Linked DNA regions of Drosophila melanogaster. The gene in region 2 interacts genetically with the main gene of each other region. Each region holds a gene or a part of one and is shown on either strand. Other genes may lie near its edges.

Region 1 (8,281 bases), on a different chromosome or scaffold from region 2:
TCCCACAGTTTTTTTTTTTTTTTTTTTTTTTTTGTTGACCATTATAGTTTGTAGTTCGAGTCTCTGGCACATGAGGATGGCCATTTTTGGGGCGCATGCGCAGCCGTCAGAACCGAGCAAAAATGACCAGAAGATGGCCAAGACCGGGACTTATGGCCATGTAAAGCGTACTGGGCCTCTGTCAATGCCAAACACGATTGACAAGCCACTGGAGCAATAAGCGTTCTAGTTGGCATTTCGGATTTGGAATTGGTAGCGAGTTCCGCTGAATGGGGCAAATCGACTCGGAAGTTGTCACTTTGGGCAGGGACAACGTGAACGCATGTCTCATCAATCATTGTATCTCTTAGTATCTGCGTAACGAGCTGCGCGCGTTGTATACAAATACAAATACAAATACAAATAAAAAGGAAAAAAGGAAACAAGTACGTAACATATGCAAAAAGCTAAATCCCAAGCGGGACGCCCTCTAATTGATTACATGCTTCGTTTGAAAACTAATCCCCCGAAGACTTTAAGCCAACTGGAATTTTTCGCAAGCGCTTTTTTTCAGCTGTGACTTGACAGTTTAGTTGGAACACATGAGCCAGCACAGTTTGGCAATGACATTGTTTATTAAACATTTCATATAAATGATTTTAATTATTGTTCTTCGGCTGGCCAGCGCGTTGATGATCTCACTTTTCGATTGAAAACCGAGAAATTTGTTTTCGTTTATTGCATGCATAATAAATAAATGGTCTAGTCTGAAGCACCGACACATGCTTGCCCCAACTATCCAGATGTGTTCGGGGATCACTGGATCACAACCCAGAAAAGGGATCAACTTAATTGTGTTAATTTGCAATCGAGAACTTTGGAAGGAAAGTTATGGTATCTAAACACTTCCGCATCTGAAATAATTGAGAGAAATTACTGGTGATGGATAAGTACTTTGTCATAATAATTGAAATAGCAGAAGGAAATTGTATTCAATTTGTTTTTCATCAGCTTGAACTTATAAATTGTTAGGTCTTTAGAAAATACATTTTAGAAGGCCTATATACTTCAAGGATTACATATATTCAATTTACATATTACATTTTAGTTCAAATAGTTTTAAAAGCGGTAATAGGATTCACCACAACACACAACATTTTAAATAGTTTCTTCTGGACTTTAACCCTGAGGGAAATAATCGAACAAACCACAAAAAATCTTTCGCAAACTATAGAAAGAAATAGAAGTACTCCCTTTACTGAATTGGGTTAACACCACAAAAAAAGTGACCGCAATTAAGAAACCATCTGGATCTGTGGCTGAAACAAAGGCTTCAGTGGGAATCACTTAAAAATCAGCATGTTATTAGTGCAATTACTATCTCATTTTCAACTCCGCCCCCATTTTCAAAGTAGTTCCCATCTGCTGGTGCATTTAGATCATCCAGCCCCCAACTTGCATGTCCATTTGGCATATCTTTTAATTAAAACAAAAGTTTTGCTCTCAAACCTCAAAGATGTTCGCAGCACGCATGGCTTCCATTTTGACCATCAAACTTCCAGTCCCCCGGTATCCCCCCCCCCCCTCAACTACGCCCCCTTTTGTAATAAGGCAACCGCAGTCTTCACTCCAAATGTTGCATGCAAATGAAAGAGCAGAGTAGTAGTGGCAAGAAGGCCAGAGAACTACTTCACCTACTAAAGTTACAGAATACAGTACACACTCATTAAGTAGTCGGAAAACGTTATTCCATCCGCCCCATCTTGACCACTCCGCTCCACCCCCTGGAAAGCCCCACCATTGCCATTTTAAAAGGGGGGTCGTACGAAATTAATAGACTCTCCACTACACTCGCTTAATTATCACAAAGAGAGACCCAGAGCAAAGTTAAAAGCACTTTTCAAATGGGCAAGTGTTTTCCTCCGCCCCCTTTTCCGCATTTCCCATTTTTCTGTGGTGCGTGTGTCTGCTTTATTAGATGATGATAACTGGCTAATGAGTTGAACTCTGCGGCAAGCCAAGAAACGACATAGTTGACTACACTGTTAAAAAATATAATTATTTTCGGGTTACTTTTAAGCTTTAAGAATATATGTATAAATCAAACGAAAATGTGTATAATCATTTTGTTTTTGTTTATTTTTTAATGATGGTAATAAATAAAATGCTTTAATTGTGAGTCACGTAAGTTCTCCCAGTGTACAGAGAGAAACAACAACATTCATGGAGCAGCGGAACCGTACTCATAAGACAGAAAGCTACCCGCACAATTTCAACAACATCTCTGATCTTGAGTTTAATGTCTCATCGTGACATACTCTTTTCCATAATGAAAGATATGCCAACTAGGTGCGTGCAGCTTATCTTGTACAACTCTAATCTGAAAGTGGATCTAAGCCGTGGTAAGCATTTTTACATTACATTTAGATTCGCTAATTAAAACGTAAAAAATGGTGGTACAAATGAGGAAATGTACCTTATATGCAGGGAACGTTTGATAAGCAAATCCTGCATTTTTCCCAATTTCATTTATGCTCTATCAACTAAATTATCATTATTCAAAATAATCTGATCTGAAAGATTAATTTATATATAAGATATCTGAAGTGATTATTCATATAAAAACGTGACAATAAATAACAATTCTAAAAGAGTATCTATACATTCGACGAATGCGAGTTTAAAAGTTTCTGGTGTTTTGTGTTTCAAAGTTTTGGCGAAGGTGAGCTGCAAAAACCGAGACATAAAAAATAAACAGAAAACGCTAAGCGAATAATTGGAAGAGCCCACGATTCTACTACTAGCAGACCTTAGAGGCCAAGAAGCCCCGAAAATAAAGAAAACGGTTAAAAGATAACTGCGCTTTATTTGCGCCCACTTTGTATATGTATACATCATATATACGAAAATATCTGTATTTAAAAGATTGTCTGCGGTGGGGCATGACCGCATGCAAAGCAAAGTCAGGTACGAATATTAAGATACTCCCAACTTTATTCGACTGTCAATGGCAAAATGCCAGGCGAATGGTTTATAATATTTCTTTTCTTGTTTGCCCATGCATTTGTGAGGTTAATCTCCCCTGGAAAGACCCCAAATAAGTGATCGAAACTCGGTCTTAACATTGAATTTCCCTGAGACGGCTCTTATCGCCCGAAGTAGCACTACACATTAGTTATCAGCAGAACTAAACAAATAGAGAATTCTGGTCGATCGATAAGCGGAGAGCAACTGTAGTTCTATCACAGCACAACTGACTCATTCAATTTGGCAACGAAATAAATACAACATTATCTATTGTTCTGTTACAGATAAGCATGAGTTTTTTATGTACGGAAATACCTATCGCCACGGTGCACTTCATTTTGCGACCACGACTGTGTCGATTAGCCCACAGGTAGACCGGCGTGCAAAAAGGGGTTGCAAAAACCAGAAGTCGCACTCCGACTTGTCAGCCTGCAGCTGCCAAGGTGGCAAGGACAAGGGGACGAATGAATGTGACTCAACGAGAAGTTGACTCAACCCGGGGGCAAGGAAACATTGGAGTTGGGGGTCACGGAAATGCAGCCGAAAATGGCGATCCAAAAAAAAAATCAATGATTTTTGTGGTTTTGTTTGAGTGCTGAAGAAGAAATGGTACTTTGGCTTCAAGTTTTTGTTTTAAGATCACACAACCACAAAATATAAAGTAAGGATCTTCACTGAATGAATTATGTATTCCAGCTCTTTTTCTTATCAGCTAAAATGTTAATTTCTAATCAGAAAAGGGAAATAAAAAACTGGCCTATGTGCAGATTAAATTATGGTATAAATAAAACTACAATATATACAGATATATCAAAGGCCTTGACCTGAAACTTAAAAGCGAAATGCCGCTCTGATAAGAAGCATTAAAGAAGAGCTTTAAAAGTAGGTAGTATAGCAGAAAAGATTTTAAATATATATTGTTTCAAAATATAATCAATTTAAAGATGAATACTATCTCCTGACTGATTATAATTACTTAATGGAATATTTTGGCTCTTAATGAGATCACAAAATAAACAACCGCATTTTACAGAGTATTTAGTGAGAAATTGTTCTTTGTAATATGTAAAATGCTCGTTGACACATCTAGAACAATATCGACAAAATTCTTTTTAAATATGTTGAAATCAAATTGCTGAACATTGCAAATTTTTTCTGGCCCCCAAATGCCATGAAAATTATTTTGCAACCGCAATTTTAAAGTGCATCTCTTCCTATTGGAAGTTTCCATTTAAGCGGGATGTCCAATAGGAAAATATGATATGCCATTAATTCACCCTTATTTAACAGATATTTGAATATATTACTAGATAGTAAACATTGGTGGGCACTCACTTATCATCGAGATCGACGGGCAGTCGCTTGAGCTCCGACATGTCCAGCTCCAGTCGCAGATTGGACACTTCACAGAGCAGGCGATCGCGTTCCAGACTCAACTCCTTGATCTTGGCGTGCAGGGCATTGTTCTCCCGGAGCAGCTCGTCCACATTGTAGGGCATCGCATGCACATGGTGATGGGGCATGTTGATGGAGAGGGGCAGGGGCAGGGAAACGGGTCCAGGTGGGGCGACACCCCCAGCGGAACCGCCCGGCCCTCCTTGGTTTCCCACAAACATTATGGAGCTGGCCATCAGCAGGGACTGCGTGGTCTGATGCAGCAGCAATTCCTGGTCGCCATCCGAGTTCTGGGATAGATTCTTCAGATCGGCCTCGGACATGTTTTGTTTATAACCTTAGCGGGGATCGGCTGCACTCCTAATCGATGTGCTTTTGTGGCCAAAACATTATAGCCCCGCCACGCACACGCACTCGCGCGAATGAGGGAAGGTGGTGGAGAGGGTGATAAAACAGCGAAACAGGCAGAACCACTTTGAATCTCACAATAAGAACTGAAAATGCAGCTTGCTGCGAGTTGAAACTTCACTCGTATTGTAATTGAATGACCTTCGTATATTATACTTCAGAGCCAGCACTTCGAATCGCGAGCAACAGTTGGTGCGGATCGGAGGGGGATTACGAATATTCTCGGAATTACGGATTTTCAATTCACGCGCGACGAAAAACACGACGCACTCGTCGTTCGACGTTTGGAAACAGTGTGGACGTGCTGGGGGGCACCGCAGTGTGACCATAGAGCATGCAACTCAAAATACGCTATCGTATTCAAAAAATATACCGCATCAAATGTGGCATTTTAAGACGACCGTTTTATTTTAAAATATATTGTTGTTTTCATCTTATTTAAGAAGGGCATAAACAATCTTAAGTTTATGCTCATTATTATACATAAGCATTTTCTTTCTTTGATAAATTTAAAACTCATTAAATCTAAATATGTGTGCATTAATTAAGATTTATTTTGGAACTGCCAATGATCCATTCCTGGTTGATCTAGTTCACCACAAAAATATTCTATAAAATTGGTATTGTAATAATAAGCCGACATGAAGAACCAAAAAAATATAACCATTATACTAACTGGGCCACCAGGTGCAAATTTAGCTGGGAAAATATTTGCTATTTGTTTATTATGTATGTAATCATGATTTTCAGGAGTGGGTAAAACTACACTGGTCCACAAAATATGCTCGGCTCTGCAGGATAGAGGACGCATTCTTCAAGGATTCTACACAGAGGAAATGCGAGGTGAGGGCACCAGCCAAAGAATCGGCTTCGACGTGGTCACGTTAGCCGGAAAACGAGCAATCCTATCTCGCAAGAATCCCGGGGACCAGCTGCGACGACCCAAAGTGGGAGAGTATTCGGTGTTTGTGCAGGACTTCGACAGTCTCGCTCTGCCAGTACTTGGCACACAGGATTCCCAACCAGAGCCGGATCTCCTGGTCGTGGATGAAGTGGGCAAAATGGAGCTGCTTAGCAAGCGATTTGAGTCGGCCATGGCTGATCTCCTGAAGAAAAAGCGGGCCCTATTGGTCACCATACCCGAGAAATCAACATTGGCTTTGGTGGAGCAGCTGAGAAAGTCAGCAGGATCCAAGATTTACCAGGTGACCAAATTCAATAGGAACGCCTTGGCTGGAGAGATTACAGAAGAGATTACAAAAGCACTTCTTTAACAAAGTAAAATTGTTGGTCTTTTTAATAGTGCCTAGATGTATAATCGTGCTGCCGATTCTCCGCCGCTGGGAGATCATCATCCGATGCTACGCATCCACGGAGCCAGTTGTTGAGTGATTCATTGCGGGCGGCGGCATGGCTGAAGTCAGTGACTGGGATTCGCTCTTCCTCGTCGAACGTTTCCGAACACGTTTGGTTTCCCTAGCCCAGTCCATTTCATTGTAGTGCTGCTCGGAAGCGGTCCAGTGGTACTCCTGTCGGCTGACCAGTTCCGGGTACTTTTGCTCGAACTCCTTGTCGGGTGGCAGTAGCAGCTCCCACCGTTTTGTGTTATTCACCCGGGCCACAGTCTTCAAAACGTCAAGTGTTTCCGCAGGAGGTAACTGGGTGGCGGCCATTACCTGAGCTCGGAACAGGTAGGGCGTGCGGGAGAAACGAAAGAGCTGCGGATGGATTTGAGGAGATTAGTACAAGATAAGTGATCGCTACACCCATACTATAACTCACTATATAATCTCTGGCGCGAATCATCTGCTCTGCGGACACACCGTTCGCATGGGAAAGCACCTTCTCGGGAAAGACCACCTCGGATTTCGGCACCCAGTTGCCGTGCAGTAGGATGCCCACCTGGGGCAGCAAAGCCAGCACCTTGTCGGCAGCCACATGCGGATCCACGTGCTCCGCGAGAATACTAATGACGTCGCTGAACGAGAGCATCCGCGCATCTCTCAGTAGCACTGTAAGCTGTTCCAGCAGCGGCATAGACTTAAGCATGGCCTTGTTGTAGACGGGAAGTACTTGGGCGGCAGCAGAAGCAGCTGCTGGGGCTACCGTCTGCACATGCTCGTCGTAGGGCAGAAGCTTTCGAAGATATTCGTCAGGAGCGAGAGCCAAAGAGGAACTGCCGTGATGACTGGTGGCAAAGAGCTTCTGGCGCTCCAGTTCGGCGGTGGGCGTGCCCCTCGAGTGCCAGTAGGCCTCGCACCACGGCTCATCCGCAATTCGCTGGACGAAACTGTCGTAGGTGCCGACACGTTGCTCCTTTCCGCTGTTTTTGGCATTTCCTCGTGCAAATTTAACCGTGACCTGCTGCAGCACCTCGTCATCGTCCGTGTCCTCCGTTTGAGCCTTCAGTTCCGCCTTCTTGCGCTTGTCGTCCTTATCGAAGTGACTGAGAACGGGTCGCATTTGGACTATGGATGTAAGTGGCGACAGATGCACCTCCCGATCCGTAAAGATGCCCACTATGTACTTGGCCACATCGGTTATGGAACGCGAGCTTGTGAAGGCCTGTTTGTCCATGATGCCACGTTTGTAGGTGGGTCGCTCCTGACCCTTTGGTGGAACTGCTCCATAGGTGTTCTTTCCGTCGGCGGCCACCGCAAATTGCTCGCCCTTGAAGCGATCGAAGTGGGCCGACTCAATGTCCAGGCCGAAGTCCACCTTCACCTCCTGGGCGATTGGTTTTACACAACAATTGACAATCACGGAGTCATCGTGGTTGGGGAGCTCCGTTTTCGTGGGGTATTGAAAGAGATACAGGCTGTCCCTCAGGTTCTTCGACAGGAATACGGGAATCTGGTGGGGATGGGCGGGCATTGTTCTCATGGTAATAATAGTGCCACTCACATACTCACCTCCTCCACGACGGGATCGTCCTCGTCTTCCATAATTTAAATTTCGATTTGATAGTTTTGTCTGCCGACGGTGCACGCCTAAATATCCAGTGTGACCAGGTTGCCTTCCTTCGGTAGCCAGCTCTGCAAACAGCTGATCGGCACAGTGGTATACAATCACTCGAACTATCTCTCATTAGGCTCGAGATTGAATAATACATTTTCACTATGAAAAACATCAAAAAGTCATAGTAATTTAAAGTGATTCCCTTTTAAGAAGACTAAGTTGTATATTAAATATAATAAATAATTTCAATACATATATGTATATAGAGCTCTGGTTCTAATCTTAAGATGTGCACAAATTATTAGAACTTAGCCGTGAGATACGATTAAGTACTGTGATTATATATGCTTGCCTTAAATTAAGCGAAACGAGTTTATAGTTTATATTAAACATTTTCAAAAGTTCTTCGGTGCATAAATAATAAACACTAAATTTAAATAATTTCAAATTATTAAAATATATGTGTCCCCATCCACTGTGCAAAGACAGAATGCAAACACAATTTCCGCCTACC
Region 2 (11,491 bases):
GGCGGATGCAAGCGAGGATGTGAAGCGTATGCGACCGCCGCGTTTCCAGCACTACGACTTCGTGTTGAGACCCTATTGCTTGATGGAGGCGACAGGGAATAAAATAATGAAGTAAGTGTCGATAGCTACTAGATTTTCAGCTGGAGTACAAAAAACGCGAACTTAACCAAATATACTCGCAGGGAAACCGACAAGGGTAAATTTGCCACCACAGATAACTTCATTCACTGTGAGGAGATTATCCAAAAGTCCGAGTACTTGGTGGTGACCAATTACCGGGTGATGTACGTGCAACGTAACGAGATGTTCGGCGTTTGGACGGTGAGTTTTGCTGTTAACTTTCAGTAGTTGGACCTTACTTATACTTCTTTTACACACAGTCTCTTTGGTCCTACCTATGGAACGAGATTAGCTCCGTGGCTGCAACGGCTCGCGGTGTCCAGTTCACAGTAAAGACGGATGGCAAGAAGGTACTTGGTCTGTTTAGCAGCAAGGAGTCACCTCGAAAGTTAGTGCTCGTGGCAGATGAGCGCAAACGTGACGCTCTTGTGGACATTATAGAATCTCAGCGCTCCGATCCCAATCCGTTAAGGGCCACCATCGCCTATCCGGCTCATAATTGACAATAGAACTGAATTTATTTCCCAACTATATTATAATCCAATCACATCCCCACGACAGCAGCAACGACATGGAAATCTACCTCGATCATCAAGATTTTTTCTGTCCAAGCACCGTGCGCCCAATTGGAAAACTCAAACTTACATGTCGCACTTTTACGTATGTTAACAACCATGGTTTTGATATTAAAATTTTATGTCAAAGTTATGTGACATCCGGAGAGTGGTTTTCACTAGCCTAAGGATTAAATCTACAATACAGAGACGAACGAGCTCTCCAGGACGTCGGATGTGAATAGCAGATGACGGATGTGCGGCAGTCTACACCTTCTTGAGAAAGCTGCTGGGAGTCGTGGCCAGGGGCATGATTGGCTCGTAGTTGTTGCAACCATCACTTTCGCAGAAGGATGTCAGCGAGGCGAGTGCATTGGCGGCCAAAGCTTCCACGCTGAACATGGTGGACAGGTGACCGCTACTCTCAAACTGGTTGATAATCATGTTCACCTTGCTCTTGGCCTCCGCCTTCAGACACGGCGACGTGGGCGGGCTGCCCGGCAGGCCGTGATACCGATCACCAGGACTTGCATCATAGCCCTCGCCCAGCTCCGCTTCCGTCAGCAGGTTCTCCTTCTCGCTCTGCTTGCACTTGGCGTTGGTTGGTGATGCACTGCCCGTGTTGGTCGCCTTCAATCCGGTGCTCTTGTTAAGGCGACTGAGGAACCAGTTTCGTGCCAGCTTGTCGCAGTCCTTGCTGACCGGACTGGATTGCGGTGAGGTGGTTGACTTGCGCTGCTTCTTCTGATCCTTGGTGGGCGTTTGGACGGGGCTGGTCAGGGGAGAGAGCATCTCCGGTTCACTACCATTCGAATAGCTCTTTTTCGCTGCCTTTTTCAGACGATCCGGACTGGGACCGGCCGCTGATAACTGGGTGGAGAGCTCACTGTGCACTGTTTTCACCCTGGCCTGGAAGTCCAGCGATATGCTTCCGTGCAAACTGGAAGGCTGCGGTTGCACCTTAATATCTCCCTCGTTGAGTAGTCCCAGGGATTCCAGCTCCCCACTTACAGATGCCACCCTGGAGGAGGTGTCCTGCAGCGGCTGTGCCGGGCATTTGGGCACATCGTACTCGAAACGTCGGGCGAGGGCGCTTGGGCTGTTGCTTTTCTCCGGCAGCTTAGGGAGCACCATGGAGGAGGAGTCTATGAGACCATACACGGGCGAGGGCTCCTCGTAGATGATATCCGCTGCTGTGTAGGTGGATTTCTTTTGGACCGGCGGCGTGGGCAGTTTCCGGGGCGGTGGAGTCTTTAACGCTGAATGAGCACCAGCATCTCCGCGGATGGCCGCCTCAATGGCGTGTATCCACTCTTTGGCATCGACTTCGTTGTTGGCCTGGTACACGAACTTCTTGTTGGGGTCGTCTGTTGTGATCTGGAAGCAGATGTCGCGCCGCTTCCCCTCTCCGAAGTGTTCAATCTCGATGGAGGAGCTCTTCAAGTAGAGCGTGCTGCTGGGTCGACAGGCGGTCGGGCCGTCGGCATAGCACAGCATCCAATCGTTGAGGATGCCACAGTAGCACTTGCGGGTCTGGTCGAAGAACAGCCGCTTGGGCACAATCCTCTGCAGCTGTCCGTACTTTGTTGACCTCTGCAGGGACAAGTGGCCAGCGGGCAGATCTGCATACGGGCAGTCAATGAACACCTCGTGGGTAAAGGTGATCGCCTGTTGCGCCTCATCCTCGTCCTGGCCCGCTCCCTGGCCCTGGCAAATCTCGTAGAGCTGCTGATGTGGCTCCTTGTCCTTCGCTGCCGGAACCGGTTGATTGACGGAGCAACGATCCAGGGATCCGCTGCTGCCCAAATCAATGTACTCCCGCGAGGCGGACACTGCAATTACGGGTAATTAGTGCTAATTGTAGGCATTAGAGAGGTACAGGTACAGTAGTGCTTCTAAAGCCTGGCTATCCGCTTTGCAACCATTATGCTGGTTTAAGTCTCTTTCAACAATGTACCGTTTTTTTTTAAATATAAATACATAATTGTAGAGCTTACAAAAGTTACCAGTATACTTTAGCATGGTTTATTTGGATTTCAGTTAGGGAAGCATGACTGTATGTAATATGTATGAGTAGTGTTCAGCACTCACGTGAGCTTTTCGAGGGTGACGGGGAGGCAAGCATCTCCAGATAACCGCTGGGACCGGTCTCCGCGCCCACCTTGCTATCGACACAGTCGACCAGGCTGGAACGATGGTTAGCTGCCGCCTGCTCGTCTGCGCATCCCAGCCCTGATCCCAGTTCCAGTCCCGATCCCGATCCCGATGCAGAACTGGCTGCAGCCAGCAGGATTTCGCAGCGGGCCAGAAGAGCGGCGGTCTGCTCGGCGGCCGTCACATGGAATAGGTTCGAGGTGTTCTCGTACTCCGAGGTCTCCAGCGAGGCTCGGAAGTGGGCGCGGACATCTGAAAGCAAGCAGAGGGGAGGATCGTAAGCTCTTCAGCTGGCTAAATAAGGCGGCGGCCCCATCGGCTATTATTTTTAAACGCATCATTGAGCCTAATGGCGGGGCAGTTGAGCAACAGAGTAGCTTTCTTGGGCGGGCAATTAGTGGGCCAGTGGAGTGGTGGTGCCTCTTCTGCTCCGACTTCTGCAGCCGTGACTCACTGGCTCTACCGTTCCCAGCCAGAAGTACGGTCACAAACGCATGTGGGTATGTACATGTACATGTACATAAGTGACCTCATAAGCTCTTGCTCAAGAGTCAACTGCGAATTGACCGGGGCAATTAAAAATAATTTCACTGACCAAGAAAGTTAACTCTGGTGTCTGTTACCCCACCCTCTGTCCAGAAATGCCCACATCCACAGAAAACCAGAAGACGCTGAAATTTGCCCGAAATCTTGTTAAAACTCAAGCACGCAAAGCTCCGGTGAACTGCTCTTAAAAGTAATATGTCCAAATATGGAAATAAGAAAAATATCCAAAAGTCGTGCTGGCGAAATGCGAACTGGAAATGCCCTTAAGAATTTGAGATCTTAACCAGAAGAGCTTGGTCACTTGGAGTTTTTTTTGGCAACTTTCCATCATTTAATTGTTAAAAACGCCTTGGACAAATAATAGTTTCAGCTTGAAGCCAAATTCTTATTATATATAGTTAGGAGCGATAATTTTTTTTTTAAGGAAGTGGAAACAAGACTTAACTTAACCGTTCAGTTAAAACGTTTCGTGCAAAGGCAACTTTTTGCTCCCAAACTATGGATAATTGGGGATCTTGACAGTGCATATCTTTCCAACCAAATGAATTAGGGAAAAGGGCATTAAAAGTATAATTTGTTTGATCTGTATGCCAAATCAGCACTCTGACTTTGGCCTTTAAGTCTACAGCAGAGGAAAGATTACTAGGTGCAAACTAACCAATTTAAAATGGGATAATAATGAAGAAGTTTATCCTATAAAACATTATAAGTATGTATATTTGTTATCAATAAGCTTGTCTCGCTGTAATATGTGTTGCAGAAACCAACTGCTAAGTTGATAATTGTGTCTTAATCAGGATCGTTGGGAAACTCCTCAGAAACTCATTTGTACGATATATGTATCAATGTGAGGCATACACAAACAAATATAAATTGAAGCAACAGTCATCGGAGGAGGGTGGATATACATACATATATGTACGTGCTCCTCTATTCCCCTGATCATGCCCTGAGAGCCACTGAACCGAGACCCGAGAAAGTGGAACCGACTAGGGAAGGTCCAAGATGGGCTAAAAGAGCGCTTAAGGCTTAGTTCTGCGGCATGTCCAATCCGCTGTTTATTGTCTTTCTCGTCCACATACACATGTAGAATGATTTAACGAAATAACCACAAATATATATATGTACATATATATAAACGATTCGGGGGAACAGCGCTCCAAAGAGGAGCCCAATTGGGACTCGATAAAGTGTACGAAATACGCGCGAGGCGAAGGAGGAGGAAGAGGAGGAGGGCCACTAAAATATCCAGAAGAGTCCGATGGTCTGGTCACAGGCCAAAAGAAGAACAAAAGAGTATTAAGCTCGGGCGCCTGCGGAATGAGTCAATACTAATACTCCGGCACTGGGTTATTGTTAATGGTTATGTTTTGGATCGCCTCCTCCTCCTCGTCCTCCTCTTCCGCCTCCTCCTCCTCCATCTCTTCTCAACTTTGAGTCGGTGTGTAATTTTTTGATGGCGCTGTTTGCCTGGCGAAATTAACAAAGTTTCTGTTGATCTATCTCACACTAACTGGCTTCAATTTTGCTTTGCTGATTTTAGCTACACGCAGAAAAATAGGTATGCCATAAGTAGAATTTTCTTTATGAGATAGGAACACTATCGATGGAAACAAAAAAAAAAAAAAAAAAAAAAAAAAATCATAAAAATAAGTTTTGAAGAAATATGAGATTGGCTATTGTAAACCAAGGATTATTTTGCTGCTTTCCAACCGCTTTTAAATAGTTGTCTTAAACAAATACGAGTATCTCATAAGCACTTTTATGTGCTGATAAATAGCTACTTATACTATTAACACCCAAGACCGATTCTTTGAGAAAAACCTGGCTTACCCAACAAAAACTGCTCAATTTCGGCCAGCTTGGTAGTTGTTGGTTTCGGATTCATGGCTTCTAAATAGTATTGTATCCGCACTTTTGTATTCCGATTTTAGTGTTCAGTGTTAATTTGAGGCGATTTGCGTTAATGTGCGTTGAGTGCTAGTTGTTGTTTGGCCGGCCGAACGCTTGATTTCTCGCCCGGGCTTTATTGTGGCTTCTTTGCGATCTGGATCGGAATAGTCATCTGTATCTGTATCTGGCATATCCACCAACTGCACACCACACGGCGTTTTGCCTTAGAAATTAACAGTTTGCTGTCAAAATGGGATAACACATTTGTATTTTTATTAGATCACATGCACAGCAGAACCGATCGGATGCACTATCTTCGATTGCGATGACGGGAGTGGAGCGCGGAACGGATTGCGACCGGAGTGCTACTGAAGGTACACGCATATACCCATTCCCGGGCTATCAGATGCTCGATGCTGCCGTGCCACGGCAACTACCTCCCCCGCTGAGGAGTCGACCTATAAATAGCTGGGACATCGATGCAGCAGCACGGATATCCAGATACCTAGACATCCAGACAACCAGATTTCCAGACATTCAGACATTCAGATACAATGCAATCTCTATTGCGCTCTATTCTCTATATTTCGTTTTTACTATTGTCTGCTCTTTTCGCCTTTTCGGTTGCACGCTTCGTTTGGCGCCCCATGGAAAATGAAAATCAAGCGATGACGTTATGTATCTCTGGGTATCTGGCGGCTAGAGTATCTGGATTCGCTGATGGGGAAACAGTGTGTGCTTGCCATTAAGTGTCATTACGACATCCCCATTTATTGGGCCTCTGCACTTGTCGGGTGTCTCCGTTTTTGTTTATAATTTTCAGTTTTCACTCCTCTGGCGTGCCTGTCATTTGCGGTTACCACTGTGCTGTGGCCAAGAACCGCATACAAATCGGGCGGCCACACGCAGAGGAGCTCGGACCCGGGACTTGAAACTGGGGACCTGTGCCTGCGACGGGGCCCCTTGTTTGGGGCCAAGCCCTTTAATTGTGACTCATCTGTGGGCGACGCGTGTCGCCACAAAGAAGCGACCGTCTGTCCGGCGAGAAGATGCAAATACTCTCGCACTTCTGCTTACCCAAAATTGTCTCTGCTACAAAGAAAAATATCTCAAACTGACCGATTTGAATACCCAACTTATTAGTGTGCAAATATTGAAATAACTTCTATATTTCAGAACGTTATTGTCAGTTAGGTTGATTGATAGATAGATAGATAGATAGTCAGTCAGAGAGTTTCTCGAACTTTATGGCCATGTTCTACTGTACAAGCGAACTGCTGACCATTTCTCTGGGCCTCACTATATACACCCGCTGCCATTTCTACGTGTCCAGAGACAGCTTTTACTTTTCGGTTCTTTATTTTTTATCGTGACCATAAAACAGAAATGTAATTTGATTTGCACCGAGCGGCCGAAGTATTTGCTTCCTTTGTGCCAGCCGTTGAAAATATGTACACATATATAGTATATTTATTGATTCAGAACATTTGCAACTGGAGACCGCGACACCTTTGTTTGCAATGGATAATCGAATCGAATGGCGAGCTCCCAACTGGCTGTCGTTCCGCGGAAAAGCCAAACAAACTGTTGGCCAGCTGGCTTCGCCGCGCGAGACTTTTCCGGCCCCGAAACTCAATGGAAACCTGTGCGCAGGCGTGTCCGACACCCCACTGCCACTGCCATCGCCATCGCCAACGCACTCCCCACTCCGCCGCGCGCTCCTTGCGCACTTCCGGTCATTTCCGATCCCCCCGAATGGCCGGCTTCCTGCTGCCGAGGAGCCCCCAATAACGAATTACGAAATGCATCCACGCACCGATTTCGGTCTTGCATCCGGTTTTCCACTGCGTTCTGACTACGTTGACACCTTTTCGCTCGCGGGCGAACTGTTCACCGCCGGAGCCAAGAAGCGAGCGCGACTTTCCGGCTGTTGCGCCACCATGAATCACTCGAGCTTAACTGCCCGACTTGGAGCTCGTCCGCTCTAGGAGCGCCAGCTTGGGCCGCCGCCAGCCGATGGCCACCCGAACGCAGCCGAAGTGCCCTCGGCTTTGGATCTCTCTCTCTCTGCACGGCGCGAAAAAATTGAACTTAAATTCGGTACGCAAAATTTCAATTCTAAAGAAATTACTCATTCATAACTATAAGACAAGTTTAAACAGCCTACGATTATGTTAACCATTCTAAGAAGGTTCGCTAAGAAGTAGTGCGATTTATATGACCAACTTCTATCAAAATTTAGATGACTTTTTTAGTGTTGCAGTGAAATATTATACGACTTTGCTTTGCTTTTTCGGTGGAATAAATAGCCGGCCGGCTTGGCGGAGTTGGATGCCCACGCCCAAGCGGCATGTCCCATTCGGATACCCCATCCTGGAGTAGGCACCCGAAAATTGTACCGCTCTTGCCACATTTGGAGAGACGATCACGCTGCTGATATCATATTTTAGAGAGCATCATGCCCATTTTGGCAATGGCAAAACAGGCCGCTACACTACGGTCGGGCTCCCATAAGTAGAACGACTTAAAGGTGCTCAATCTGCCATCAAATACATTGTTGCGCACAATGTACGCTCGATAGTCGAAGTTCTGGCTCCCCTTTCTCAGATATTTAATTACAGAATATTATTGTTTACAACAATATAAACATTGCGAATAATTGTACATATTTGTATTATAATTTCAAGACTCTCTATTACAATTTATGTTTGTATATCACATTTTCTTAATATTAAGTAACTGTCCTTAAAATGGCATTATTTCCCTAAGGTAAACTTTTTTTTCCTCATTCTGCATGTGCATGCATACAAGATGTTCGTGCCGAGTGGCTAGTCTGTGGAACCAGAAATCTTCTAATGTGGCAGGCAGATGTTGTTGCCGCAGCTGCCGAGAAATCCGAGTCTTCGGCACAGAAAGGGGTAAGCAGAGGGCCATGGGTCGAAGCCGAGTCTGGAGCCTTCTCCTGTGCGTGTGCTCTTCACAATCGGCGGCAGATAAAGCGGCCCGTCCAGAGCCGATCGGCTGCCCTTTTTGGGCAGCAGTTTTGAAGGACGCGTTCATGGGATGCTGAGGCAAACAACTCAATTTTAATTAAACGTTGCGCTCCGAGAAATAAATTAAGCATGCTGACCAGGTTGGCTGCGCAATATCTGGACAACCTTGGGTCCCCCCGCCTGGACTTGTCTCCGGCAGCAGTGATAAGTGCATAGCCGTTGCGTGATTCGACCCAGAAGACCGGGCGAGTGGATAACAGGTTCCCACCTCGGCTGGCTTTATCAAGCGGCACAAAGAGTCTGATTCTAGTATTGTGCTAACGCTTAATTATGTGCCACAACAAGTATTTTCATTCTTTGTACTTTAATGCATGGCCGGAGCTGTCTTCTGGCCGCTACTTGAGGAACGCTTGGAGGCGATTCTGCTGCGTTTTGCTGGCGTCTTTAAACGCGTTCGACTTCAGCTGGGCAGCTATTTGCAGCAGTACGTTCTGCTTCTGGGTTTTGGACTGCGTTTTTGGTGCGGTGGGCGCTGGCTGGGCAGGCTTCTTCTTTTTCTTCTTCGATGTCTGACTTGGGTTTTGGGAAGCTATGCCGACTGGTTGGGACGCGTTTTTGGATGGAGCTGGCGATTTCGAAGGCTGCTGCTGTCGCTGAGGCGCTTTTTGCTGCATTTTCAGGCCTGCATTGATATCTTTATTCGGCGCCTGAGACTTCTTCGTTTTGGCCTTCTTTTTGTTTTGGCCCGCTGGCGCAGGTTGTGTGACTACCATTGTCTCCTCCGTGGCTTTTACTTTGGCGCGCTTTCGGCTCTTCTCCAGAGCCAACATTGTCTTGTGATGGCAAACATCGCAGTCCACGGCCTGCAAAATGAATTGGGTTGTGGTTAGAGTGGCAGGAATGGGTCCATATGTACACACACAAAACACTGTATAAAGATCTTTCAGCTTCCTTGGTGTTAATTTAAATTATTATTTGCCCAGAAGCTTGATACATAAATTTATATTGCGCTTATAAGGTACTAAACTATCCATCTATACCATTCATCCATGGAAGCAAAGAGATATTATATTTATATTTATGAAATTAAAGAAATAAAAGTATTTTTTCCCACAATCTAGACATATTCTAGACATTCTATTAGCTCCTGGTTCTCACCATGTTACTGGCCATACGCTTCTTGAGCCACTTGGCCCGTTTCCTGGCCCCGCTGTTCATCTCGCCCTTTGCCATCTTGCCCTTCACGGCTTCCAGCTTGGTGATCAGTCTCCGGTTCTTAGCACTCTGCATCAGTTCTTGTGGCTGGAGGTGGAGCTGGTAGCGGCCACCTGTCCACTGGTTCCCGCAGCGGGAGCACATGCGTGCGGGTCCAAAGCTCTCCTCGGGCAACTGGACATTGTGCCGGGCCAGCTTCCTACAGGTGGTTCTGGGTTGTTTTGGAAACGAAATTTTAGTGGGTGCTTAAGGAATTGACAACGGATCTCACATGTAATAGGATTTGAGGATCCGTTCTGTGTGGGTTTGGTCGGTCAGCTTGGAGGCACAGTTCCACAGCAAATTTACTGTTTTTTGGTCACTCATGGCGGACGCTGACAATTTACTGAAAAAACAAATTCTATATATTTAAGCGTAATTATTTCCAGAAATGTTTTCCTACATTAATTAACGAAACCCCAACAGAAAAGCCAAACTTAAAGAGGTAGCCTAAATAGAGGAAACATGCCAAAATTCTAGCCAAAACATACAGCACTGACGGCACAACGTGTGCAGCTCACCAGAGAAATCAAAGGTGCATTTCAAGCCTAATTCCAGGTTCTTAACTTACCAGCTATGCGTGATAAATATTGAAAGTGATACGTGGTAAATTACGGTTGGATATTCATATTATAACATCAATAAAAACCCTTTTTGATAACGCTTTAAGAAAAATAAACAGCTGTCGGCCGAAATTAAACCGGTAAATATGTGTGATTGGTGAACCGGTTTAACCATTGATGTGCGACAGAGCTGCCACCCTGCCAAATACGACAAAGTGGCAGCCCTTGGCAACTCACCACTGGCATTTTCTCCCCAATTTCGGTATTTCGTCGTGGTCAGTTGAGGGTCCTATGGCATTTGCGCGTCGTTTTGAAATTATTCAACACATCTGAAAAGCCAACCGCCGAAACGAGCAGAAGCGACGCGCAGAATTTCGAATGCAAACGGACGCGCAACCCGCCAGTGAAAAACAAACATCAAATATCGCCAACGTGGAGTGTCGAGCAGTACAGTGAATTCAATAGCATAGTGCGCGCAATCACAACTCGCATTTGCATTTGCAGCTGCAGCAACAACAATGGACCCGTTTACTCAGGTACGAGGCCAATTCGCACACAGCAAAGCCCTTTGTCTGGTGATTGCACTGGTGTTAGTGAAGGCACCCGCGGATTTTCACTGCTATTTCCCATTTTCCCTTGCAGCACATGCTCGAGAAGGCGGAACAGCGCAGTCGCGCCCTTGGCATCAGCAATGCCAGCAAATTTCCGCTCGTCGAGTGCAGCGTTCCAAGCTCCTCCGCCACCTCCGCATCCGGCGGGGATGCTGGGGTCCTGGCACCGAGGAGCCGGTCGCCTGGAGGCCAGAGCGCGGCTAGCGGCGGCGGCAAGGTCGTTACGTTGGGAAAGGCCACGCTGGAGGCGTCGCCGGCGAAGCCGCTGCGTCACTATACGGCGGTAAACAAGGAAAACTTGGATATGGGCATAGAGATAAACATAACCACGGACAAGCCAATTGGGGTAAGTTTTCCCGTTCTTTTCTGGGTTCTTCCCTTTTGCTCATCCTTGCTGCACTACCTTCAGGTGCAAGTTGAGATTCAGGAGCAGGAGGTGACAGATGACGAAGAGCAGGCGGAAGGAGGTGCGCTAAATCCCCTGCTGGAGGCGGAACCAGTAAACCAGCCCCTAGCCAGGCTAAGGGACACTTCCCGCAGCCGACTGCAACGCATGGGTGCCCTGTACTCAAACACGGACGATCTATCCTCCCCAATCCACCGAACCGAGGGGCAGTTCCATGTGACAACGGGTGAGGAAGAGGACTGCGGCAACCGTAGCAGCAGGCAACCAAAACAACGGTTGGGCAAACTGGCCGCCTTGGCGGATACCATCAATCAGTGGGAGGATGACACGTCGCACCACGAAGTGCACAGACTGCTCGAAGCACCTCCACCGAAACCGCATTTGTCCAGTCGAAGGG

What was found.
Region 1: of blow (region 2) and siz, changing one enhances a phenotype caused by changing the other (phenotypic enhancement), as found in Drosophila melanogaster (one study listed by BioGRID).

The regions. Positions count from the first base shown.
Region 1 is NT_037436.4:21,031,362-21,039,642, reverse strand, and holds the start of siz (schizo), read right to left. Parts: upstream 5,109-8,281; 5' UTR 4,725-5,108; coding exon 4,342-4,724; intron 1-4,341. Other genes in the region: CG10581 (uncharacterized protein), read left to right, coding at 5,451-5,496, 5,560-6,083; Polr3E (RNA polymerase III subunit E), read right to left, coding at 6,171-6,527, 6,592-7,662, 7,722-7,754.
Region 2 is NT_033778.4:7,579,849-7,591,339, forward strand, and holds blow (blown fuse), read right to left. Parts: upstream 7,232-11,491; 5' UTR 7,084-7,231; intron 5,638-7,083; exon of another isoform or gene 5,510-5,637; 5' UTR 5,263-5,509; coding exon 5,208-5,262; intron 4,375-5,207; exon of another isoform or gene 4,321-4,374; coding exon of another isoform or gene 4,287-4,320; intron 3,081-4,286; coding exon 2,766-3,080; intron 2,507-2,765; coding exon 942-2,506; 3' UTR 640-941; downstream 1-639. Other genes in the region: Vps13 (vacuolar protein sorting 13), read left to right, coding at 1-111, 183-321, 381-623; CG1360 (uncharacterized protein), read right to left, coding at 8,656-9,123, 9,419-9,686, 9,747-9,841; scra (scraps), read left to right, coding at 10,596-10,613, 10,720-11,034, 11,098-11,491.